Coturnix japonica: one gene and its partners. The protein of the gene in region 1 purifies or fractionates together with the protein of each later gene. This does not show direct contact. Links are inferred from orthologs where the notes say so. Each region holds a gene or a part of one and is shown in the gene's direction. Other genes may lie near its edges.

Region 1 (6,646 bases):
TGTAACTACGTGCCAACTTTTTGATAAGCATACTTTCTGCTTAAAACATTTTTATAGTTAGGAAGTATGGAAGTGTTCATTTGTTGTATGCTACAGAGAGCTCCATCCAGTCAAGTATTTCATATGACCAGAGTTCAGAAATCCTCTCCAAAACTCCAAACTATTCACGCAGTTTGTTCAACATATTAGGAATAAGGGAGAACACAAAAATTGTATGCTGATCATGTTACAAACCCGTTCGTTTGATCTTCAGGTTGATTTAGGCTTATAGGAAGCATTTCGGGTTTCTAAGAGCTTACAGTGCACACTTTGGATGACGCTGTTGTCTTCATTCACTTGTATCCTAAGCAGTCAAGCTGAGCAAACAGCATAGGGCATATCTTCTGAAATAAAGGATAACAATCAAGGCAGAAAACAGGATGTTTCCACTTAAAAGGTTAAACAACAAGAAGAGAATTAAAAGGTTGGAGGAAATGATGGTGATACATCAAGGGGGCCTTTGAAACCTGGGCCTTCAAAGTATCGTCTACATTACAGGCACCTACGTGACATCCCTAAAGAGTCTGTAAAGGAGGTCCAGAATCTCTAGCGGCCAGAAAGCTCCCAAGCACAGCAGCATTCTGTACAAGATTATTGATGTGTGTAATCCTACTGGCTTGACCTCAGCCTCACAATACAGTTATTAACTACAGTTACCGGAAAGAAACTCAAAACCACATTTCCCAAATTTGGGACATCCACGTCTTCTCAAGTAACATTAATCACCACTGCAGAGAGGCATCAGTCTCCCAGCTGTAAGATCCAATAAATAATACTGATATTTCTGGTCAGTATTTAGGCCGTTAGAAGATTGTCAAGGTTTGGAGCTTTTTGCTCTAGTTTTATTTGGTTTACTATTACTGCAAGCCTTGCAGACTAAATGGGGAAAATTCTGTATTTAATAGTCACTGCCCATTTTGCAACTAAGTTTTAGTGCTGTTTTTGTGGATCCCAACCACTAAACTTTGAGCTGAGGCAGGACATCCTCAGAGTTTGTCCTGCTCACTTTATACAAGTTGAGGCTGTTTGGCAGCACCCTGCCCTTAGCTAGAAAGACTCAGTGATTACCTATGGATAGCACATACTGCACGCGAGCTAAAGCACATGTCAAATAATAACAATAAACAATATCAGAACACTTGGCACAGAGCACAGGTTGCAAACCAACCGACAGCACCTTGCTCCTGCTACAGGAGCAGGAAAGTCAGAAGAGGCACCAAGTTCCTAGTGCAGAACTTCATGTTCTCAACTCATCCCACAGCACAGATTTCAAAAAGCACGGAACACCAGCCAACAAAATCTGGAAGTCAGTCAGCAATGCTTTCCATTGTACAACCCCCTGCCCTGCTCTGCCGCATTAAATATTGCATAGCAACACCACACAAGTCTTCAAACTTCCATCTCACTCGCAGCTGTATCTCAGTGAGTTAAGCCGAGCATTTCATTTGAGAGCAGTGGCCTCTTTGGAGGCAAAAACTCAACACAGCACCCCGTGAGTAATCAGTACAACTCAACCATGAATGCATTTGTCACGTACCAACAGCAACACGCAGCCACAAAGTCAATACATTGACAGCCTGCTGCCGCTGCATGGACACATCAACTGCCACCACACATCGAGCTATGGAACAGAAAAGAAAGGCCATTTTCATGAAGCTGATGGTAGCTCTCCTCCAAACAAATCTGCAAAATATTCCAACACAGTTTTTAGTGCGACAAAGCTTCAACAGAAATACTTCTACATCTCCAACAGAAACAAATATTTAACCTCTCCGGCTTGACTAAGAAACGACACACTTTGCTAAAAATGCCCTTAAATGTTGAGAATAAATGAAAACAAATGGTTATCCAATGTCACATACAACGAACAAAGTAGAACTTACATCAAGGCCAACAATTAGCAGAGTCCTACTTTGAAAGCCAGTACAGACATGGTGAACTCATTTTCATCTCATGCGTACCAGAGCCTTCCTCCTATGGGAACTGAAAAGTGTCTGCTTTGTTAAGGAGATCAAGGACAACGTTTGCTGGTCTAAAATCAAGTGATACGTGACCCACATTTGTGGATAGAACTGCTGAAGGGGCTGAGCTTACACCTGTACCCGCACACTGCTCCTCAGCTGTCACAGCGCATTTTGGGCACTTCGAAAAGGAGAATGGCATCAGAAAAGCTCCAGATGAGAAGGAATTAAAGCACTCGGGCCTTTACTATGCATAAGGATGAAGCCCCCTTTTTTTTCAATAAACCAATTATTAGAAAGCTTTTAATAATATAGCAGCAGATGACAGATACAGATATATGTGCTACAGATAAGTAGCGTGTGTATATAAATATCACGTTTACCCCCTCAACTCACTCAGCTGAACTGCAAACGAGTTAAAGCCCAGCAAAACAAACAGCAGAAGCCCCGAGCACAGCCCCCTGCGTACCACCACCACCGGGCCCTCGCCGGCGTCTCTCAGCACAGCGCTTTCGGCCCGAGCACCGCTCCGCTCCGCGCCTACCTGCGTAAGTCGAGGCGGGAGCTGAGCCCAGGGCTGAGGGCTGAGGGCTTTGGGCCGCCCGACGGCTCCCAGCGGTTGGCAGCGCTCAGCGCTCATTGCTCCGCAGCGGACGGGAGGCCCGCGAGCAGCGCCCCGCTCCCGCTCCCTCCCCACACCTGTTCCCTGCCCCTCCGGCCGCGCCGCCTCCCGGCCCCGGCGCCACCGGCCCCACATCGACGGCGCGGCCGAGCCCCGGCGGGGGGTGGAGCGGCGGCCGAGGGACGCGCTGAAGGCGCCCGGCCGTCAGGGGACGGAGCGAGGGAAACCGCCGCCAACGGGCCGCCCAGCGCCGGCCTACCTGAGCGTGGGGGGGTCTCCTGAGCCAGGCTCCCGCGAAGAGCCGCCTGGCCATGGCAATCACGCATCCCCGCAGCGGGCGGCGGACGGAGGCGGAGCGGAGCGCGGCGCTTCCCCGCCCGGCCTGTCCAAGGAGCCGAATCGCCGGCGAAGGGAGGACGAGGAACGCGTAAGACACGCAGCGCCGGGCCGGCAGCTGTCAGCCGCGGGGACGCGCCACGGGGAGGGGAGGGAAGAGGAGAGAAGGGGAAGGGAGGAACGCGGCCGCCCAGGGCCGGAGGGGGAGAGCGGGCGGGGCGGGGCTGCTGCTATCCCCGCCCTGCGCTGAGGGAACGGCCCGTGGGCGCCGGGCGCTGCGCCGAGCGGAGCGGGGCTTCCTGCGCGGGCTGTGTCCGTTCGAACTGGGCAGCTCCGAATGACTGAGTCCGTTAATGAATAACGTGCCCCGCTGATTGCAGGCAGGTTCCGTCTGCCACTCGCTGGGCGTTAGAACCAGCTGAGGGCCCACTGGGCCCACACAGTTAAGGAGGGAACCCCGGCCCTCCGCACCGCCGCGCTCTGCAGGCAGGTGCGTACCGTGCTGTCCCTGTGCTACGGCCTCACACTGCGTCCGCTAACAGCGACAAGAGCGAGTTTGCTGATGGAAGAAAAAATACATGATTACGCTTGTCATAGCCACAACCTGTGACCGTAACGGCGGGCAGGTCGGGTCAGGCTGCTAGGGAAGGGCCAGGCACACCGGGCAGGCCTTGAGCCTCACTGCGTGACTGTGGCAACAGTCCATAGCACTGCTCCTCCTCACAGTGGGTTTGGAAGGAAAGCTGAGCCAGGAGGGATGTGGCATTGGCCTCATCTGGTCTCTTGCCCCACAGCAGGGCGAGAATTAGGTGCCTCCCACAGCTTCACATAGTGTGGAACGTAGCAGACTAACTGCCATTAGTAGTAACGTGATTTGGTTCAAGTGTAACTGCCCTTAGTCACATGAATTTTAACTTGCTTCCATCTGGTCACATGTATGACTTAGTTACCTCCTTAGCAACAGGTCAGAAGCTATAGGGGATTCCTGATGCTTTTTGGCTGTGAGGCTTTGGGTGAAAGGATTACAGCACAATGTCAGGGGAAAAAAAATGATTGTAACATGCTCTGGCTTTTGGCGTTGTGTGCTGCTTTAATTAAAAGAAAGGATACAGAAAGATGGCATAAGAATAAGTTGTGGTGTCCTAGCAGGGATTAGTCTTAAGGAAAGATACATATCTAGAAACCAAATGTTATGAGGTCATAGAGTATTAAAAATCAGCAAGATTTAAAGAGTAAAATCTTTAAGATTCAGGAATAGTCCATGACTGCTTTTTGAATAATATAATCACTGCCAGACTCAGCTCACTCTGAAGAATAAATCAGAAAATTAATTAGTAAGATTTGGCACTCCTGCAAAAGCAGCCCTGGTTTTAATAACACTCTTGCAGTGAGAGTGTTCTCTTCCTATTCAGCAGGCCCAGATGGCTGTGCTTTCTGCATCACTTCCCTCTACAGTTCAGTAGTTTGTACGAGCTTAGTGAGATTACAGGCACGCAATGGAAAGGTGACACCAGGAAACTACAGAGCAGGCATTTAAACGTTTTGCTGAATAATCTCAAGTAATTACTTCATCTAATGTTCTGTGTCAATCCTTGGAAGGAGAGGCTGAGAGTAATCATGAAATGTGCTTCTCCCATATGGCAGGCGAGGACGTAAATGTTTTGTTTCTGTTAAGACTGGATCAAAACAGTTCCTGGCATATGTTCATTAGGGGATATATTTTTCACTTAGTGCATGAGATCTTAGTCATTTGTGAGAGCAGCTGCTTTATTCCGGCACTGCAGTGTTTAGTTATTCTTAAAGTCCTCTTTGTGTCCAGGCTTTACTAGATGATAAAAAGGCAATTTCAGCCTTTTTCAGCTTATCCCTTAAACACCAAACTCCCAGTTAAGCCTTGGTAAATGCAAAGCTTGTGGCATTTTGCATGTGCAAATGTAAATGGATATTTTAAAGACCAGGGAATAGATGCAATAGAACATAAGTCATAGTGATGTATTTACTGAACCGTTTTTCCATTTGCTCACGCTTTTCCATTCTGTAGTTCACACATTATTCATTTTTGTATGGCAATAACACATCTCAAATGCAAAAGCAGTTGAAGTTACGCTGATTTATTGCTACCTGTTAATATTTGCTTCCTATCCAGCCTTGCAAAGATTGGAGAGACAAATCCACTGATGATTATACGTATGCACTGTTTATCACTCGGTGTTAAAGGTAAATGTGGCCTTATAATAACTGCATACCATCACTTCCAGTACTGTGACAACTTAACAGTCACTGCATACTAAATAGGACTCAGGAAAAACTAAGAGCTGTTACATGTATTGAAGCATCCAGGAATTTTGGACAAGCAATATTTGACTAATAAAGATAATAGAAAACTATAGAAAAATCTACATTCTTCAAGGTACTTATTAAAATTCTGCATTATATTAATAAAGATGCACATTATATCTAAGTTCTTCTGATGGAAGGATCTGTTACTTGAGCAAGTAATACAGGTTTTATCATTTTATTTTAAAGCTAAACATTAACTTATTGCAATGTAACTGAGCTTGATTCTCACATAGGAGACTCCATGGGAAATCCTCAGGGTTCACACATTCTTATCACCATCATATTAATGCAGGACGCCTCTGGCTAATGTTAGTAATCATAAGATTAATAATGTTAATAATCACAGACTTCCATACAGCAGCTTTACAAGCTTTACCCACAAAGCACAACTTCCTGCATTAGCACTCTTACCCAGGATATGCCAAAGAAATGTTTTGTCATCCTGGGCAGCATCTCAGCTTAACCCCCAGTAGGAATGGAATGTGTCAGCATCTGCCAGTTACCTTTTGTTTTTTTTAAAGTTTAATAACTGTATTTACATGGTAAACAATGCGTTAATGATTTTAAAATAAAACTGCTTTTCCTAAAATGAAGTCTATAAGGGTGTCAAAGTTTCACTCTTTGTCCTGCCTGGCTGTCAAGATGCACATTCAGAGATCTAGCCAGGAATTTGGTTTTATTCTGACTCCATCATCCGGTTTGTCAATGTGGAACAGAATGAAGATCTGGGGACACACTCGTCAGACCTAAATTCTTCCTCATGTTCCATTCAGAGTGAGATTCTTTCCCTCTCCTGTAAACTTCTCTGAACTCAAATTTAATCAGTGCATAACTTTTATTTTATCCTTTTTTATCCTTAAATATTATTTCCTATTGCATTCAAATTCTTACTAGTGTCAGTGCTTCTAGAGAATACATAGGTGGAGCCATCTCTTACTCAGAGAGCAAACAAAGCCTGTTAAGGATTCCCTTGTGGCTTAACTTGTTGTAAGCAAATCATTAATCTATTTGAGGAAGCAGCATCTTCTAGCCAGCAAGTTTTATTTCTAAGGCCATACTTATAAATATATATAAATCTGGCCTCCTGCAGCAGCAGAACACATTCCTCTTGCTGCTTACTTTCATTCTTGCGTTGGCACAACCATTTCTGTTATTGTGTTAAGAACTAGGACAATAATTTCAACTATGAACTGTTAATCGTACTTCATTTTTTCCCTGGGTTAGGTCAGACAGCCCAATTCCTTTCATCAGTGTCTTGGACTTATGCCAAAATTGAAGTGGCTGTTTCTAACCACTGAAGCTTTTATCTTATTTAAACATATCTGTATCAAAAATTGTGTTTTATTAC
Region 2 (5,919 bases), on another chromosome or scaffold:
GCCGGAGGCACCATGTGGTCAGTGCTTCCTGTTCAAATGCCCCAGCTTCTGCGGTTGCTGAGACAAGGGAGGGAGACAGCGACAGAGACACGGGCAATGAGTGGGCTTCTAGTTCCTCGGGTATGGCGTCATCCTTAGAGACACACTTCTCCCACCCAGTGATGACAAGCAGGCACCACTGCATGTGGGGCTCTGTCCATATTCACTGGCTGTGGATTTATAAGTTAGTGACAGAATGTATTCAGCTGGCCTTTACCAAATGCAAGGGACGTGCAGTGCCACCCTGCACTGTGTTTGGGTTATTATTCTTGTTGTCAGGCATAGCAAGTTCTTTGCTGGGGCCTTGATGACCCTGAGCACCTTGCTTGGCTTTGCACGAGGATAGTGTGGGCAGCAGGCACACTGCTGGACATTACCACTTCATGCATTTGGCTGGACTGTGGTGCTGAGAACCCGACTGTGAGCCATTGAGGCTGAGGACTTGTGTGCAGTCTTGCAAGGCAATGGCTGCTTCTTCAGTGCTGGGACAGGCACTGGGCTTTTTCTGCCTCATGGGGCAGATTGGGCTCAGGCCCCTTGGAGCACTGCTGCCCTAGGAAACATGGATGGCAGAGTCGCATTCTTGCTCATCCTTGGTCCCTAACATCTGCCTTTCTCACCAGAGGCAAACTCCCGCTGTCAAACCCCTACCAAGCAGAAGCTGAGCCCGACCTCATCCCAGCTGTTTGCAGTGGAGGCACAGCAGGAGCCAGTCGAGTGGACAGGAGCTGAGGAGTCTCTCTTCCGTGTCTTCCATGGGACCTACTTCAACAACTTCTGCTCCATTGCCAGACTGCTGGGAACAAAGACATGCAAGCAGGTAGGGCCTGACATTCTAGTTTGGGCTGTATGCCCAGGGGAAGCAGGCATGGCAGCACCTAGCACAAGGGAAGGAAGCCTTTCTGCTGCTCACTTAATTATTTTTTTCTTCTCTGCCCCAAACAATTTTGAGGAAGGTGTTGCATCGACACTTTGGAAGTTCAGTGTTGTTATTTTACAGTACTGCTGTCCATTTCTGCTAGGTTTCTTCAGAGTGCTTTATGCCAGGCCTGGGTATATTGGCAAGTGGATTATCTTGTTTCCCAGGCAAGAAAAGCAAAGATGTCCATGACTTAATGAAACTGGGAGCAGAGTTGCACACTGTGCACACTTTGTGTGTGTGCTTATGCTTTCTTCATTTGTGCTTAAATAAAGGCAGCTTGAGTGCACTGAACTTTATTCTATTGTTTCTGTTCTTGGTTGTTTTTTTGTTGTTGTTTTTTGTTTGTTTTTGGTAGGTCTTTCAGTTTGCAGTGAAAGAGTCACTTATAACAAAACTGCCAACAAATGAATTGATGAATCCATCCCAGAAGAAGAAAAGGAAGCACAGGCGAGTGTTGGACAGCCTTGTTTTGTTCTTAAAATGCAACCAGATCCACTGCTTTTTGTGCCAAAGCATTCCTGGTAATCCGCATCTGGCTCCCATCTGCATACGCTTCTCGCAGTCACACAGGGCTGATTGTGCTGCTGGCTGAGAGCTGATCCCTGCTGTGTCACTGGTGCTGCCGTCCTGGTTGGGCAGCTGTGGGGTTCTATGGCCTCAGGCTCAGCCCTGGAGCAGAAGGCAGCACAGTGGATGTCTTGCACCAAGAGCTGCACTGCTGAAAGTCCGTTTCGCTGTCTTAACAGCAGTCTCTGCCTGAGCTCCCTCCCTGGCTTATAACCTACATTTTGTATGTAGTGTTATTCTGGCTTTCACATTTGCCTTAAATAACTTCAGCTGTAGCTGAGTCGTTCTCATCTTTCACCTCTTTGTGTCTAGCTGATGGTTATTAATGCATGAAGCTGCCAGACAGCCTTGCTGGACTCACTTGTCCCCTGCTGCAGTGCTAACTGGCAGTGCTGAACACAGTACCGGCCAGTTGTTCCTGATGGAGGCTTGTGACTCTCCCACCCCTGACACTTCTCTGCTTCTCTTCCAGGCTGTGGGCTGCCCACTGCAGGAAAATTCAGCTGAAGAAAGGTACTGTTTGCTGTGGTTGTGCTTAGACATTGTTTATGTGGTGGGGGCTGGTTCTCCAGCCCTGGCTTCCACAGCAGGACACTGTGTCCTGCTCTCCATAACAGCAGTTGCAGTGATGTGGGGGTGAGCTGCCCCCACTGCAGAGCCTTCTTGGGGGCCACCCTGGCTCTGCCTCATGCACTGCTGCCATGCAAGTGTTCTCTGCCAGGTTCTGAGTGCAGTGCAGTCCTTCTCTAGTCAGGAGGGATGAGGTTTGGCATGTAGTCTGTGTGAAATGGACTGTGCAGGGGTGTGTGTATGTGTCATACATTTGTAATTGGAGCAGTGTGTGGATGGATTTGGCTGAGCTGAGTGCTGCTGCGCTCCCCGCCCTCTGCAGGCAAATCAGGAACCTGCATGTGCTCTGCTCCAGAGCCCTGGGAATGCTGCTTTCTTTGAAGTGTTTCTGCAAAGTACAGCTTCTAATCCTGGCTTTTCTCCTATTGTTTTAGATAATTCACCTACCCAGGTGTACAACTACCAGCCCTGTGACCATCCTGAGCATCCCTGTGACAGCTCCTGTCCTTGCATTATGACCCAAAATTTCTGTGAGAAGTTCTGCCAGTGCAACCCTGACTGTAAGGAAAACCCTAGGATTGTCATGTATGAAAGCAGCTGCTCTCCTGACACAGACCAGAGGACGGGTGCAGACCTGGTGCTTAATGAAGGCTTGCTTTATTTCTGCCTTCACTTTTTGGTCTACCTGCAGCAGTGCAGTTACCAGTCTGATAAAGTCCAAAGGAAGGCTGTGGTCCATGATGTCCTGTAACATCCTGTAACAGCAGCTGGTGATGTGTTCCCTTGTTAGAGAACACTTGCCCGCATGTCTGTATCCAGAATCAGTAAGCCCTGGGTGATGCTGCTGATTGCATAAAAGGAGGTTGTATGGTCAGCTGAGTTGCTGCTCTGCCACACTTGTTTTTCCCCTTTTATGAAAAATCTTGTCATGCAGAAATATGGGTTGCATTTCTGCAGGTCAGAATCGCTTCCCAGGCTGCCGCTGTAAGACCCAGTGCAACACCAAGCAGTGTCCGTGCTACTTGGCCGTGCGGGAATGCGATCCAGACCTCTGCCTGACCTGCGGGGCATCAGAGCACTGGGACTGCAAGGTTGTCTCCTGCAAGAACTGCAGCATCCAGCGCGGCCTCAAAAAGGTATTGATAGGAGCATGGCTCTGGCAAAGGGCTGCCTCAGGGCAGAGTTGGTAAACAGATTTCCTGCTACAGAGGAGAGGCTGTGAGCCACTTAAAGCTGTCTGAGTGAGAAAAATCAAAAAAGAAGCTGCTCTGCCCCAGGCTTCTATAGCATTTAATCTAGAGTATGGATTACTGATGTGAAAATCAGGAGCTGGGAGATAAATGAGAATGCATGAAAACAAGGTAGTATAAAAAGTAACACCATAGAAAAGCTGAATTTTGCTGGTCGGAACAAAGTACTGCAGGTAAAAGAGGCAGAAATTCAGTGGGTGTTAAGTACTGTGCAGCTGCAGCTTATTGATGCTGTGACATATAACTGTGTCACATTACAGTGGGGAACTGGATAGATATTGACTTCTTGTTTGCTTCTCTGCATTATTTGCCCCCGTGGTACTGAGGACTGCAGCCTGCACAGCATGGCTACTTGTTTACTCCTGCCCTAAACCATACACATACACATACACCTGGGCTGTGACCTCTGCACTGCTTGCATGCTGGGCATCAGTGGGTCTGCCATCTGAAACTGTTTTCTTTTTTCCTTGGCTCAAGCATTTGTTGCTGGCGCCATCAGATGTTGCCGGCTGGGGGACATTCATCAAAGAATCTGTGCAGAAGAATGAATTCATCTCTGAATACTGTGGTGAGGTCAGTGCTTGTGCCCTTGCTGGGCGTGCTGTGCTGTGTGCTTGGGAGGACACACTCTGTTCAGCAGCTGATCCAGCAGGGACTGTGTGCCTTCTCTAGTTCAGTTACGGCCATGCACTCACTCTGACCCAGCTTAGAGGTTGAATCTTGTACCATTTTGGGACACATCTTAGTGTCTCTAGGCTCCCCACAAGGTGGTGTGTGCTGATCCCTTGAAGCCCAGCTATTGCTTCTACTTCTCCTGAGCCCTGGTGAGCTCCCACCCCTTTGCGGAGGGGCAGGAGGTGTTTTCTGGACATACAAGAGTGCTGTTTCTGACATGATCTTTACCATGCCTGCAGGCATTGAGGCTCTCTCAAGGCATTCTCTTTCTTCAGCTTATTTCACAGGATGAGGCTGACCGTCGAGGAAAGGTCTATGACAAGTACATGTCAAGTTTCCTCTTCAACCTCAACAATGGTAACTTGTGGGGGGCTTTCATGGGGTGGTGGAGGCTTGGGCTTCCTGGAAGGGGCTGTCAGGGGTTAGTCTCCATTCCTGCATTGTGTGAGCAGCAGCCTTGTGTTTACAGGACACTGCAGAGTTTTCTTCTTTCTTTGTTTCAATAGACTTTGTTGTTGATGCCACTCGCAAAGGAAATAAAATCCGCTTTGCCAACCACTCTGTGAACCCCAATTGCTATGCCAAAGGTGAGCTATCCTAACACAGGCCATTCAAGGTGGAAGAAGAATCTCTGGTCCTACTCAGCTCTAGGAACACAAGAAGTTCAGTGGGGTCCCAAGTGACACTGAGTCCATCACAGCTGCAGAGCATCAGAGACGTAGGCAAACTCTCCTTGTGGCTGCAAATCGCATTACTACTGCTGGGGCTCTGCTCAGCTCTGCTGTAGCTCTGTCCTTGCAGGGAGATCACTGCTAGAGAGCAGGCTAGGATGTTACTCCATTATGCTGAGCAGCAGTTCTGGAGCCTTGGCTCTGCAGCTGGCAATGGTCAGGCTGGGCTGTTGGTGCTCTGTGACCTTTGGACTTGGACTACAGTTGCACATCTCTGATATTGTCTCTCTGGTTGCAGTTGTGATGGTGAATGGAGACCACCGGATAGGAATCTTTGCCAAGAGGGCCATCCAGGCGGGAGAGGAGCTCTTCTTTGATTACCGGTAACACAGGGAGAGGCTGCCTGGGGACTGTGGGGCAGGGCTGACCTCACTTTCTGTGTGCACGTTTGCAAGGAGCACAGAGGTTGTTACAGCAGCTGTGGCTTTCCTGTTTTATAGGTACAGCCAGGCAGATGCCCTGAAGTATGTTGGCATAGAGAGGGAGACCGATATCATCTAAGCCGTGTGCTGGGCGATCCCCACACATTTTGCTGCTGCACCTTGTAAGCAATGCCATGTTTGCTTCACGCTGACATGACTGCTGCTCGTGTTCCCCTTGTTGTGTGTGTCACAAGTGCTACTTTCCACCCAAACACCTGGAGAGAGACTCAGGGCAGGAGCATGAGTGGCTGCCACCAGGACAGCAGCTCTGCCCAGCCCCAGGATGGGGCAGGTTCCAGCACCTTGCACTGCTGGTAATCTGGGCTGGAGGGACCAAGCAGCTGGGGCTTGAAGAAGAGCTGTGTTGCAGGAGGAGGGACAGTCGCCAGTTCTCAGTCTCTTTCCATTTTCTGTCAACTGCTAGAAGAACAAGAGTGAGTGAAGTGCACTGAGACCTGGAGGGCATGGCTGAAGGGTGACAGGGCTGGCATCCACCTCCAGCCCCTGTCTGGGACAAGCTCTGGTCTCTGGTGCTACCTTTTGCTGCCTGTTTTGTTGCATTGGCTAGGGCAGTGACAGCATTGGAAGCCATAGAGATGTGGCCACACTCCTGCACGTCGCTAGGCTCCACAGCCACTATCACTGGGGCTCTGTTTTCCCTCTGCCTCAGCTGGGCTGGACAAAAGAGACCACCAGCATGTGGCTCCTTGGGACAGGAAGAGCAGCACTATGCAAAAGTCTCT
Region 3 (4,881 bases), on another chromosome or scaffold:
CTCCAGCAGGTCAGAAGAGATCTTAACTCGATAGCTGAGTAGCAGTAGTGCATTGAATATAGATGCATTTGGCTCAGCTGTTAGTTTTATTCTGTGGCATTGGTTCATTTTAAAACACATGCAGAAAATATTTTTTTCTTAGTCCTTCCAACAGAAAGAAGAGGTTCAGTTAGTCAAAGCATTTATGTACTTGTCTTTCCATTGAAAGGTCTGATTTTATAACTTGCATTTATTTCAGTGCAAAGTTGGTTGTAAGCTGGCTCTCAATTAGGAACATAAACATTTTGCTTAACTTGGACTACGGAAAACTTTTACTTTTTGTTCTTTTAGAAGGCTGCTTTTTGCTACACAGAATTAATCCTGGATAACGTTTCTGTTTTCAAACTTGCTGGAGAACTAATTTGGAACTTTCTGTCTCAGGAAATGAAGAGACGACGTATAGCCAAACCATTTTCAATGGAAAAGTTGCTTTATCAGATTGCAACAGCAGAAGCAAAAAAGGAAAATGGACCGACTCTGAGTACGATATCATCACTTCTTGGAGAGCTCAGGTAACGAATCGGGGCCTGTTGTACCTATTTTCTTTTCATTGGCAGACTCCAGAGGTGGGTAATGTAAGTAACCATTTTAGACAAGTATCTCGCACCTACTTAACCAAGCAAATCTATTTGAAGACAGCCACATGTGGAAGAAGCAGTTTCCTTGGCTGATGTGAGGGTGCCCGTGGTTAGGATGTCTTACTCTAAGAATTCCATACTTCTGGCACCGTCAAAGAATTAAAGTACGGATTAGCTTGGGTTTTTATTTTGTTAATCCTTGGTGCTGAGAGTCAAGATTTCCTGATGTGTTATGTGGGCTACATGGTGCCAAGCTGTTAAGTACCGCTTAGTTTTTAACTTCTTGGCATCGGTAGCTGCCGTCAATCCATGCCAGTAGTATGGGTTTTGCAGCAGGAACCCTTGTCTTCAGCATCAATATTGTTATACTGCAGTTGAAGAATGTATGCAGAGAGGTATTTTTTTCTTTAAACAGTCAGTGAGCAGCTTATATGCATGCAAACACTTAAAAACAAAAGCTTCACATTCCTTTTTCTCTCCACAGTGATTAAGGAAACATGTTTAGGGTTTTTCTTAAGATAGGTAAAATAGAAAATATGATGTTGCCTGGCTTCCTGTGTAATGTTCTTCTCTTTTGTTCCCTACCATGTAGTTGCTACCTATCTTTCAAGTTTGTGACAACTGGTACTCGAGATGCCAAGAAAGTTTTGATGAATGGAATCTACAAACTGTATTTAACTAACTAGCATGTTCATTTGGAAAGTTTCCAGTGACATATTGAAGGGGAATACAGCCCATGTGTTGTTGTAGTGTTCAGAAAGAAATACAAAGAGGTGTGCTGACTCCCCCTACCAGGTGTGCTGACTGCTTTACCTGCAGCTGGTTCCCCTGAAGGAATAATCACTTCCATGCGCACTTTTTTTTTTTTTCTTTTTTTTTCCCCTTGAAGAGGAAAAGTCTGCAAGTGTGAAAGGTGAAACAGAGATGTTGGTGCTTGATGTAAGAGATCACATCGACCTTTATCAGAGTGGTTCTCAAACTTGTTCTTATACTGAGGTTGGAATTCTCTGGAGAATATCAGTCCTTCCTGTGGCTGCTTATGTAAAACGAAACCCCAAACCAGAAAAGCACAACCAAAGTGGAACAATGCACCAGATATTTTTTGTTCTGTTCTGTTTTGCTTATTCGTTTTGTGTCTCGCTGCCTCCTCTCCTGACCTACCATGCCATTTGCTTAGCATGGCTCTCCACCCATCTTCGGCTGTGTCTGGTGGCGAGCGTCTCTATTCTCCCGTTCCATCTGCTCAGCTCACTCCACGCTACTCCGGCCCAACCTGCTCCCGCAACGCTGTACAGTTCTGTACAGGACGCGCTGGCCACCTTGCACACACAGCGGGTGGAGGGCGGCCTGAGGGCTCAGTGGTTGTTCTTAGTTGATATCCCCTTCTTTTTCCCCTGGGTATGCAGCAAGGTCTTCGTCTTTTGGCACGGTTGCTTGCCCTGCTCCCCCTTTCCTGCGTGACGCACCTCCCGGCAGCAGATCCTTGGTTCTCTGGCCTCCTGCTGAAGGTGGCTGTGCTACTCCTGGGGGCAACGGCTCCTCCTCCTCAAGGTGGCTTTTGGCAACTTCAGGAAAGGCAGCCGTGTTGTCAGCTACATGGCTCAGCTCTCCACATGCCCTGGGTCCCCACCGACCTCGAAGAAGTACTCGGCAGCCCCCAGTGCTTTGTGGAGCAGTTTGAGAACCACTGGATTGATACAGTGGTCACATTTTGCAGTTAGGCAGTGTTCCTGTGGTGCTGGCTGGCTCTCAGCATGCGTAGGGTATGGCACCAACCTCCAGCAACACTCAGGGCTTTGCTGTGTGCAGTTACGATTTCAGTGACGATGGTGGTAAAAGGGTGACTGTGGTTGGCTGGTTGGCTTTGTGGTGCTACGAGGAACCAGTGGTTTCTGATTGCATCCAATGTTCACAGGGACACGGAGCTGAGGCAGCGGCGGCAGCTTTACGAGGCAGGTCTCCACTCCTCGGCACGCTATGGCAGCCATGACAGCAGCAGCACGGCAGTGGATGGAAAGAAAAAGCCTCGAAAGTGGTTGCAGTTAGAAACGTCGGAGAGAAGATGTCAGATTTGTCAGCACCTGTGCTATCTGTCCATGGTGAGTACAGTCCTGAGCCGCAGCTGGGGTACCGAGTTGTAAAAAAAAAACAAAAAAAACCCAGAACCAACCAAAAATTTGGATGCTGGGGAGACAATGAAGTCATGTAAATGTAATCAAGGAAATGATTTTACTTTGTCATTCATAATGGTAGTAAGAGACACGAAGGCAACCAGCTCAATTCCAGGCTGAACTTGTCAGTGCGGCAGCCAGAAGCTGAGTGTGACCTCTGCTGGCTCAGACAGTAGCTGGGGGTCCCATGGCCACACTGCTGGTTTTGCTTGAACTCAGGGCAAAATTTAAAGTGACATGAAACTGCTGCTTTCAAGAAGCTTTTAGGACACACATTAGATAGTAGTAAGGCTTTATACATGTAACATTAATTAGATTTATCCTTCGTTGCTACTGGTGTTTTTTAATTAGTAAGTATTTGCCAACATTATCACTCGTCTTGCAATGTATGCACATCTTGTTTACTCCCCCCTTCACTGATTTACAGTGATATACAGGTATAATGATACATCACAAGGAGCATACTCTGGCTTCAGCTTGGAGCTCACCGCATTTCCCCCACGTGTTCTTTTTTTGGTAGGTTGTACAGGAGAATGAAAACGTTGTCTTCTGCTTGGAGTGTGCCCTGCGGCATGTGGAGAAACAGAAGTCTTGTCGGGGACTGAAAATGATGTACCGCTATGATGAGGTTTGTGCAGTCGTCACAGCTTTTCTCTTTTGCTGCTGGTTCATATATGTGAGCTCACAGAAATGGCTGGGAGTCAATGTGGAGATAGATAATGAGCACGGAACTCACGGCAGTGATTTAGGACTGAGTCGGGATTTTGGGCAAGTGCTGCATTGCAGTACATTCAGACAGTGCTCCTTACGTGCCTGTTCAGCACCATCTGTGGAAAAACTGTGTTTGGGGGTGGGTTGGACAGAGGAGGGGCTGTTAGTTAGTCTGAGCCGTGGGTAGGGACGCCATGGGAGAATACAAAATTGGCTCTTTGAGAGCAGTGCTGATAACAAGCAGCTCTGAGGCGGATGTCTCAGCAGCTACTGATGTGCACAGAGGTCCAGAGGGGAGAAAAAAAGAGAAAGTTAGGAGAAGTTGTGCCATTCTGGCCATCTTTGATTTTCACTGTGGGCTCCATTGCGCTGTCAGGTGCTGTAGCTTACAAACAGGTACAATCTAGGATTCCAGGCAACAGAGAAGCTGGCTTTGTGGTATATACACTGAGGAGTGCCAGAAGGCTCCTTGGAAATTTAAATACATTTCTCTTAATTCCTGAGCTTATTTAGGCTCTTATATCCTGGGTCTTCACAGTACTGATAACTCTATTGAGCCACTCTTAATCAGCACCACATAAAGTAATGACTGGTTTTATAATTACAAAGCAGGGATTTGGGGATTTCTTCCCCAAATGAAAAGACTCTCTCGATTTCTGCACTTCTGAAGGATACTCAGTGTAGGCCTGCTGGATGTTACATAATTTATTTTTGAGAGCTGTGAACAGGGAGAGAGAGAGCAATTCTTCACGTCAAATGCCATCTGTTAAACCTATTTAACTGTTAGCTGTGCTTTGCCCACAACCAACTTCTTAAGATTCCTGCCAGGAGGGGACATTCTCCCTTCACTCCAGACCTCACCGAGCCACTGACTGCAGCGAGAGCAGGAGTGGTGATGCAGCACAGGCACTGTGCTGTGCTGCTCAGGGACTCCTGTCTCGTTCTTACTGTATTGCCACGGACCCATAGCCCTGGGCCCTGTGTGGCACCAAGCACTAGCCTGGAGCACTTGGGGCATCCAGAGATCCTTAAAAGCAGTAACGGAAAATAGCATCCTGTAACAAATGGCAACAGTCTCAATAGGGAAAAGCAGGACCTTCTCCCTAAGTTTTAAATAAGTATTCAGTAAACAGCAGGTAGCAAGCGTTGCCACTTGCAGATTTCAGTAAGTTCATGGCATTTATGACTTTGCTCAGCAGTGGCCTTTAATCATGTCTGCAGCAAAGTTTTGGCTCTGCTGAGCTGTATCTGTGCAGCCCAGTGCTCAGCCTGGTGCAGTCCTGTCACCCATCGCTGACTCTGCACTCAGAGGCAGGAAACTACAGCAGGGGCACCATTCCAGGTATAGTGCACTGCTTCTTAGGCAGACCCCACCTGTGAAA
Region 4 (5,919 bases), on another chromosome or scaffold:
AGTGTCAAGATATTCTTTCATTCCCCAGCTTCGTGTGGGATATTTATATGTTAAAAGCAGTAAATATGCCAGTGGGTTTGACTTTTTTTATAAGATTTCTAAAAAAAAAGGAACACTTAGATACTGAAAATGATGGGGGTTGTGTTAAACTTTCTGTCTATCTAACAAGAGGTTATGTGCAGCTCCATAGTGGGTGTTTTTCTCAGAATTTCTTTAACAGATTTGTGTCATTCTCCCACACTTCACTGCTGGGTTTTGCTGATGTTGCTGTTTCTGAATTTAGGCTTCAGACTGCCTCGCTGAAATGTTAGGGTAGCTAAGTGGGAGGGGATGAGAGATTTGGATCATGGAAACCTTCTGAATGAGCTTTGCCGCACAAGAAATTGTGATATGAAGTTACTCTGACACAAGTGTCTGGGAAAGCAGTTGATCTTAATGTGCTTTTTGAGGTGTAAAATAATCTCTGGTTCTTTCAGAGTGGAGGAGATCTTTCATTTTCAACCAGGTAGGCAGCAGCTCTATGGTTCACATGAATCACCCCCACAGATGGTGCTTTCTATGGCTTCAAGTCTTGCTTCAAATAGGGCTGTGGGCCTTTCAGCACCCAAACATTTAGCAGTATCTGAGTAATGCTGAGCATATTTGTGTTCTTTCCACAGACATCCCAAACTGGTTAGTACTTTTCAAGGGTACTCTGGAATAACAGGGCATCTCTCATACCTACTCTGGGGTGACCCAAAAGATCGCCCTGTGTGGTTAATTCCCAGCTTCAAGGACTTGGATCAGGGCCTGGAAACAGGTTGCTGTGCAGGCAGAGTAAAACACAGAAAGTAAATATAGCATTTCAGCTAAGTAAGATATAATATTTCTAAGTCTTCTAGTTTCTCTTTGAACTGGTTTAAAGAACAAATAGTAGCCAGGTTAGGTAATTCTTTTTACTTCATTTTTGGGGAAGCCTCACTTCTTTTTTCTTATTCTTAATATTTCAGATGCTATTTAGATAAACTGTAACAATTGAATATTGTGTGTTGGTCCAGAGGGACATTAAACTCATTGGATCTCACATAATGCATCTCATTCTGTCTTTGAACTGTGCTGTAAGATGGACGTACTGATATAAATGAAAAGTCAACGTGATTTAAAGACATAGAAATTCATTTTAATATTTTTTAGAGATGTATAGATTTTTTTTTTCATTTTCCTATTCTTAGTTTTCCCTCTCTCCTTTGTTTTTCTTCTCTCCTCCTGAAGACAAAGAAACATGGCCATTGCTGACTACTTTGAATGTCAGATGGTTATGATTCAGTCTGAAAAACACAGTGCTTGCTAAATATGCCTTTTAACCACTAGTGTGGAAGCTATTTTGGCTGAAATTTAAGCATCAAGCAAACAAATATATAACTTGGAAAATAACAGGAAAGCAAAAAGTGCTTTATTTTATTGCTTTTTACAGCACTACATTACTGGAAGGTATACTGAAAAAGTCTTTGCTGTCCGTGGGCTGAGTGGCGACACAGTTTATAAATGAGCACATACAACTAACAAAGTACATCCTCACTTCTGCATATAATTTTTCTTCTAGATCTTCCAGCAAAGAGGAATTTTGCTTTGATGTGCTCCCTTCAGAACAATGCCAGTTTGCCCTACCCTTCCCTCTTGTTCAGGGTGTGGTTGAATAGCTGTTAGCTGTTGAATGGAGTATCTCAGCTTTTACTTTCTATCCCTGGACCTGGGAATTGGATTCTAGTTTGTTGTCGAGTAAGGGAGAAGTAGCTAAAACCACTTCTAGTGGTAGTTTGCTTCCCCTTCAGGAACCAGGAATGCATGTGTGGTCAGTTTGTGCCTCACTAGCAGTGTGGGTGATGATATTTTAAAATGGGCTCATGTACTTGCAGGTGATTATTTTGTGTTGGCTTAGTGTTTATTTCGCTGCCTTCTGTCTAAAAACAGGCCTAACCTTATTTTGTCTGGCCGAAGTTGAGCTGCTATTTAGTGAGTGAGGGCAGAACCAACTGCTGATTATCTGTTTACCTTTATAGCAACTGTAGGATCTGTTTCTTTGCCTTCTTTCTGGTGCATGAAGAACCCAAGTACCTTGAGTCCATGCCTTTTATTTATACCAGGGTCAAAGTGGCTTTTCACCATTCTACTGTTATATCTGGGTCAAACTGTCTATAAAGCCAGGAGTCAGGTTGTTGTGACAGATCCAGCCTCTCAGGATAACTAACATGCAGCACCTAATAGTGTAATGTTTTGAAAACCTAGTAAGCAGCAGGTACAAAGATTAAAACAGTTATCAGTGTTATCAAAATAGCACGTGCTGTTTCTGACCAGTGAGGATGATGGTAGTTTAAATGAGGTAAGCATAACTTCAGGCAGATACCCTGGTGTTTTCCTAATTCTGTGTCTCTTAATTTAATTTTAACGCTGTACTAGTGATGAATACCTCCTCTTTTTTCTTCTGTACTGGGGTTACTAATAACCTTGCTACTTTTCCCACGCTCCCCATCAAACAGCTACCTGTTCTTTAATGTTACAGTGGCTAATGCTTAGAGTTCAACTTCAAACATGCTTTCTTAATTTGTATTCAGCTTTGAAAATTGTGCCTCTCCTTATGAGATGCAGGAGGGCCTTCACTCAAAGCTATTTTTTTCACTTGGCTCTTCTAGCTGTCCCCATTGAGGTAACAACAGATACTGCATTTCCCAGTAAATATGGCCTAGTTCAAATTCTTTCTAACTTCCTTTTTAGCAAGTCTTTTTTGTTTTGTTTTGTTTTTGAGTAGAATTGAATTCCTCACCCCATACCCCCTCCTCAAATTTGTTTTGTGGTTCCTGTATGGGTCAGAGCTGCCAGGGCTAATATTTCTCATGTTGTCTCTGAAGCACTGCCATTTGAAGGCTGCTTAACAGCCATCATGAGACACTTCCTTCCTGCCTGTACTGTCCCAGACAGTCCCCTGTGGGGAGGCACTTTAATGAACATTATTCTTGCTGAAAACATCCTGTCAGAACAGGCCAAAATACTGTTATCAATTAATAACAAGCACCACCATATTCATTGTGATTTGTAAACATATCTGCTTCTTTCCCCCCTCCCTCCCCCTTAAACTGATGTAAAATGTTATAAAAATAATACTTGACATTCTTCTGATAACTGTTTGTGAAGGAGATCTGAAAACATTTTGTAGACATGAACTTTGCAGCAGCTTTGTGATATGCTGGAGTTAATTCATTGTGCCTGTGATAGAGTTGCAAGACCTAACTGTGCTGTAATAGTGAAATGTAACCCTTCTCCACCCTTACACCAGTATAATTCTTCTCAATCCTAACAGATCTCCTTTGTGATGTTGTAAATCCCTGTGTGAAAGTAACTACAGCAATATAAAGTGCTTATAGACGTGACCTTAGGAGGTTTCCTTGTTGAAAGATGCAAAGCAGAGTAAGCAGTAGTTGGGCCAACTTCTGTTCTCAGCTGTGAGGCAACAGTTCTTCCCTTAGAATTTAAAACTTTGTTGAGAGGAAAGAAATACTGCTTTATCCTCTGTGAAGACAGCCAAATTAGAATGTGATGTTACAAAACTGTTCTTCTTAACTGTTCGCTATATGAAATTATATTGGGTGTGAACCTAGTAGTTTGGGGGGAAAACATAACAATTTGTTTCCCATTACAGCTGAATTTCACAGAAATAATGTGTTTGTGAGCTTTATTTTTTTTCTAACCTTGCTTTACATCTGCAGGAGGACCATGGTCAGCCTTTGTTTGGAGTCCAGTTTAACTGGCACAGTAAAGAAGGCGATCCTCTTGTTTTTGCCACTGTAGGCAGCAACAGAGTAAGTAACTTGTTTTCAACCTCCTGTTGCTTTTCTTTGCATTCATTTTTTTCAATGAAACCCCTTACCTGTGTATAGTACTAACATACGGTGACTTGCATAGAAAGCCGTATTTATGAGGTATGTAGTGTCTGTTATCTTGGAGATGTTCTGCCTCTGAATTACAGTATGATGCCATGCCTTAGCTGCTTGGGAATTAGCCTCTGTGGTAATTAAAATTTTGCTAGTAACATGAACATATGTTAAAGAAGACAGGTGCATAAATGTATCTTCTCACTGAAATTATTCTTCTTAGATGTTACTGTTTCTAGAAGGCTTAATTGATAGCCTGATTTTATAGGCTTTTTCTGAACAAGACTCTACATTGTTTTAGTCTTCAAGTTCCTCCTATGGAAGTGTTCCACATAAACAAGAAGTCTCTCATTTCCAGGTTTGTCCAACCTGACAAAAGTGCTAAACTAAAATTAACTGTATATCAAATGCTCATGTAAAGACTAGGTCTGGTTAGAGGTGATGAAGTAACTAGTTATAAGTAGAGAATATTCAAAGAGTATATTTTAATATCTGGGAAGGGCTGCTAGCAAGTCCTGGAATGCTGCTTTACTAAAACTGTTGGGCACATTGTTTTATTAAACCCACTGTTAGATAAACAGGTGAGATGAGAGCTAAACCATAGAAGCATACTGCCATTCCACAAACAGCACAGTGCACAGGTGTATTTGGTTTTCTCTTGTACTATCACAAGTAAGTAACAATCCCTCTCACTTTTTTCTTTCCCCAGGTTACTTTATATGAATGCCACTCCCAAGGAGAAATCCGCCTGTTACAGTCCTATGTGGATGCTGATGTATCCTTTTAAGTAAAAACACACTTGCTTGATTCCTCTTCATCATAATAGTGAAGGCTTTGTAGGAAAAAGAACACAGAGGCTTTTCTGTGATTTAATACCCTGCTCATGTGGCACATTCCTCCTATTGGGTCTTAGCCTTCTTTCGTCTTTCCCACATCCTCGAGTCTTTCGTATTGAAATAATATCAGAAATGCAGACTCATGGAACGTGCTGTCTTAAAGTATTTGAAAACTGATTCTCTGTCAGTTCAGTCTTCCCAACACCAATATTTGTGCAGAGTTTCACATTCCATGTTCTACAGTGGTCTCAGCTCTCTGAATTGGAACTGGATTTCAAGCCTAAGAATTATGTTTCATGCTCTGAAGTGGTAATAACTTCTGTTGATCAGTTGCAGTTCACAGGTTACTGATTTCTGACTGGGTCTTGATTCATCCTCATTTTTATTCCCAGTCTTTTGATATTTTGGAGAAAGATTGAAAAGTGATGCCAAGAGAAAGGTGTCCTTATGTGTTTTATAAACAGAAGTGAGGAAATCTCTAGGAAAGTCAGTACTGATTATTATTTGCAGTTGTATGATCAAATATTCTTTTTTTTAATTATTCTTGGATCCATTTGTGGACACATGGACAACAAGTTTGCTTGGAAAAGCACTTTAAAAATATATTTAAAGTTAATTTTGCTCAAAACAAAAACCTCCAGTCTCTTCTTTGTTCCTTAACGTAAGATGCAGGCAGATGAAAACTTCTATACCTGTGCATGGACATATGATAGTAATACAAGCCATCCTCTCCTTGCTGTGGCAGGATCCAGGGGTATTATTAGGATAATTAATCCTATTACAATGCAGTGCATAAAGGTAAGTGCTCAGAACTTTGAAATGAAGCTTATGTTTCTGTAAGGCATGAAACATGTCTTCTAAGTACATGTAAATGTGAGGGGAGATTATAACTTGGTCTCTGAATTCTATCCCAGCACTACGTGGGTCATGGAAATGCAATCAATGAACTGAAATTCCATCCAAGAGATCCAAATCTCCTTTTATCTGTAAGCAAAGGTGAGGAAAAAAAAACCACTTATGTTGTTGTACAAATCAGGATACTTTTGATTGGATTTTTGATCTTGAAAATGGCCAAAATCTCTCAATTCTTTGAAAATTTTACTAGTGGGATTGAACAAGTTTACCTTGGAAGTCTAGAGCAAGCGTTGGTCTTCTTGGATATGTATTAGATACATTTT

What was found.
Region 2: the proteins of MTF2 (region 1) and EZH1 purify together in Homo sapiens (affinity purification with mass spectrometry; 3 studies listed by BioGRID and IntAct, with this or other methods). This does not show direct contact. The link is inferred for Coturnix japonica from reciprocal best matches to the Homo sapiens genes MTF2 and EZH1.
Region 3: the proteins of MTF2 (region 1) and JARID2 purify together in Homo sapiens (affinity purification with mass spectrometry; 3 studies listed by BioGRID and IntAct, with this or other methods). This does not show direct contact. The link is inferred for Coturnix japonica from reciprocal best matches to the Homo sapiens genes MTF2 and JARID2.
Region 4: the proteins of MTF2 (region 1) and EED purify together in Homo sapiens (affinity purification with mass spectrometry; 3 studies listed by BioGRID and IntAct, with this or other methods). This does not show direct contact. The link is inferred for Coturnix japonica from reciprocal best matches to the Homo sapiens genes MTF2 and EED.

Annotation. Positions count from the first base shown.
Region 1 is NC_029523.1:12,157,249-12,163,894, reverse strand, and holds the start of MTF2 (metal-response element-binding transcription factor 2), read left to right. Parts: upstream 1-2,933; coding exon 2,934-3,049; intron 3,050-6,646. Other genes in the region: DIPK1A (divergent protein kinase domain 1A), read right to left, coding at 2,545-2,640. UniProt on the Homo sapiens protein: Polycomb group (PcG) protein that specifically binds histone H3 trimethylated at 'Lys-36' (H3K36me3) and recruits the PRC2 complex, thus enhancing PRC2 H3K27me3 methylation activity.
Region 2 is NC_029542.1:4,621,876-4,627,794, reverse strand, and holds part of EZH1 (histone-lysine N-methyltransferase EZH1), read left to right. Parts: coding exon 1-120; intron 121-662; coding exon 663-859; intron 860-1,316; coding exon 1,317-1,408; intron 1,409-2,000; coding exon 2,001-2,041; intron 2,042-2,532; coding exon 2,533-2,658; intron 2,659-3,055; coding exon 3,056-3,234; intron 3,235-3,825; coding exon 3,826-3,921; intron 3,922-4,298; coding exon 4,299-4,380; intron 4,381-4,529; coding exon 4,530-4,610; intron 4,611-4,992; coding exon 4,993-5,077; intron 5,078-5,194; coding exon 5,195-5,255; 3' UTR 5,256-5,919.
Region 3 is NC_029517.1:67,712,589-67,717,469, reverse strand, and holds part of JARID2 (protein Jumonji), read left to right. Parts: intron 1-420; coding exon 421-551; intron 552-2,532; coding exon 2,533-2,716; intron 2,717-3,308; coding exon 3,309-3,416; intron 3,417-4,881.
Region 4 is NC_029516.1:170,400,766-170,406,684, forward strand, and holds part of EED (polycomb protein EED), read left to right. Parts: intron 1-3,740; coding exon 3,741-3,833; intron 3,834-4,614; coding exon 4,615-4,680; intron 4,681-5,413; coding exon 5,414-5,539; intron 5,540-5,655; coding exon 5,656-5,737; intron 5,738-5,919. UniProt on the Homo sapiens protein: Polycomb group (PcG) protein. Component of the PRC2/EED-EZH2 complex, which methylates 'Lys-9' and 'Lys-27' of histone H3, leading to transcriptional repression of the affected target gene.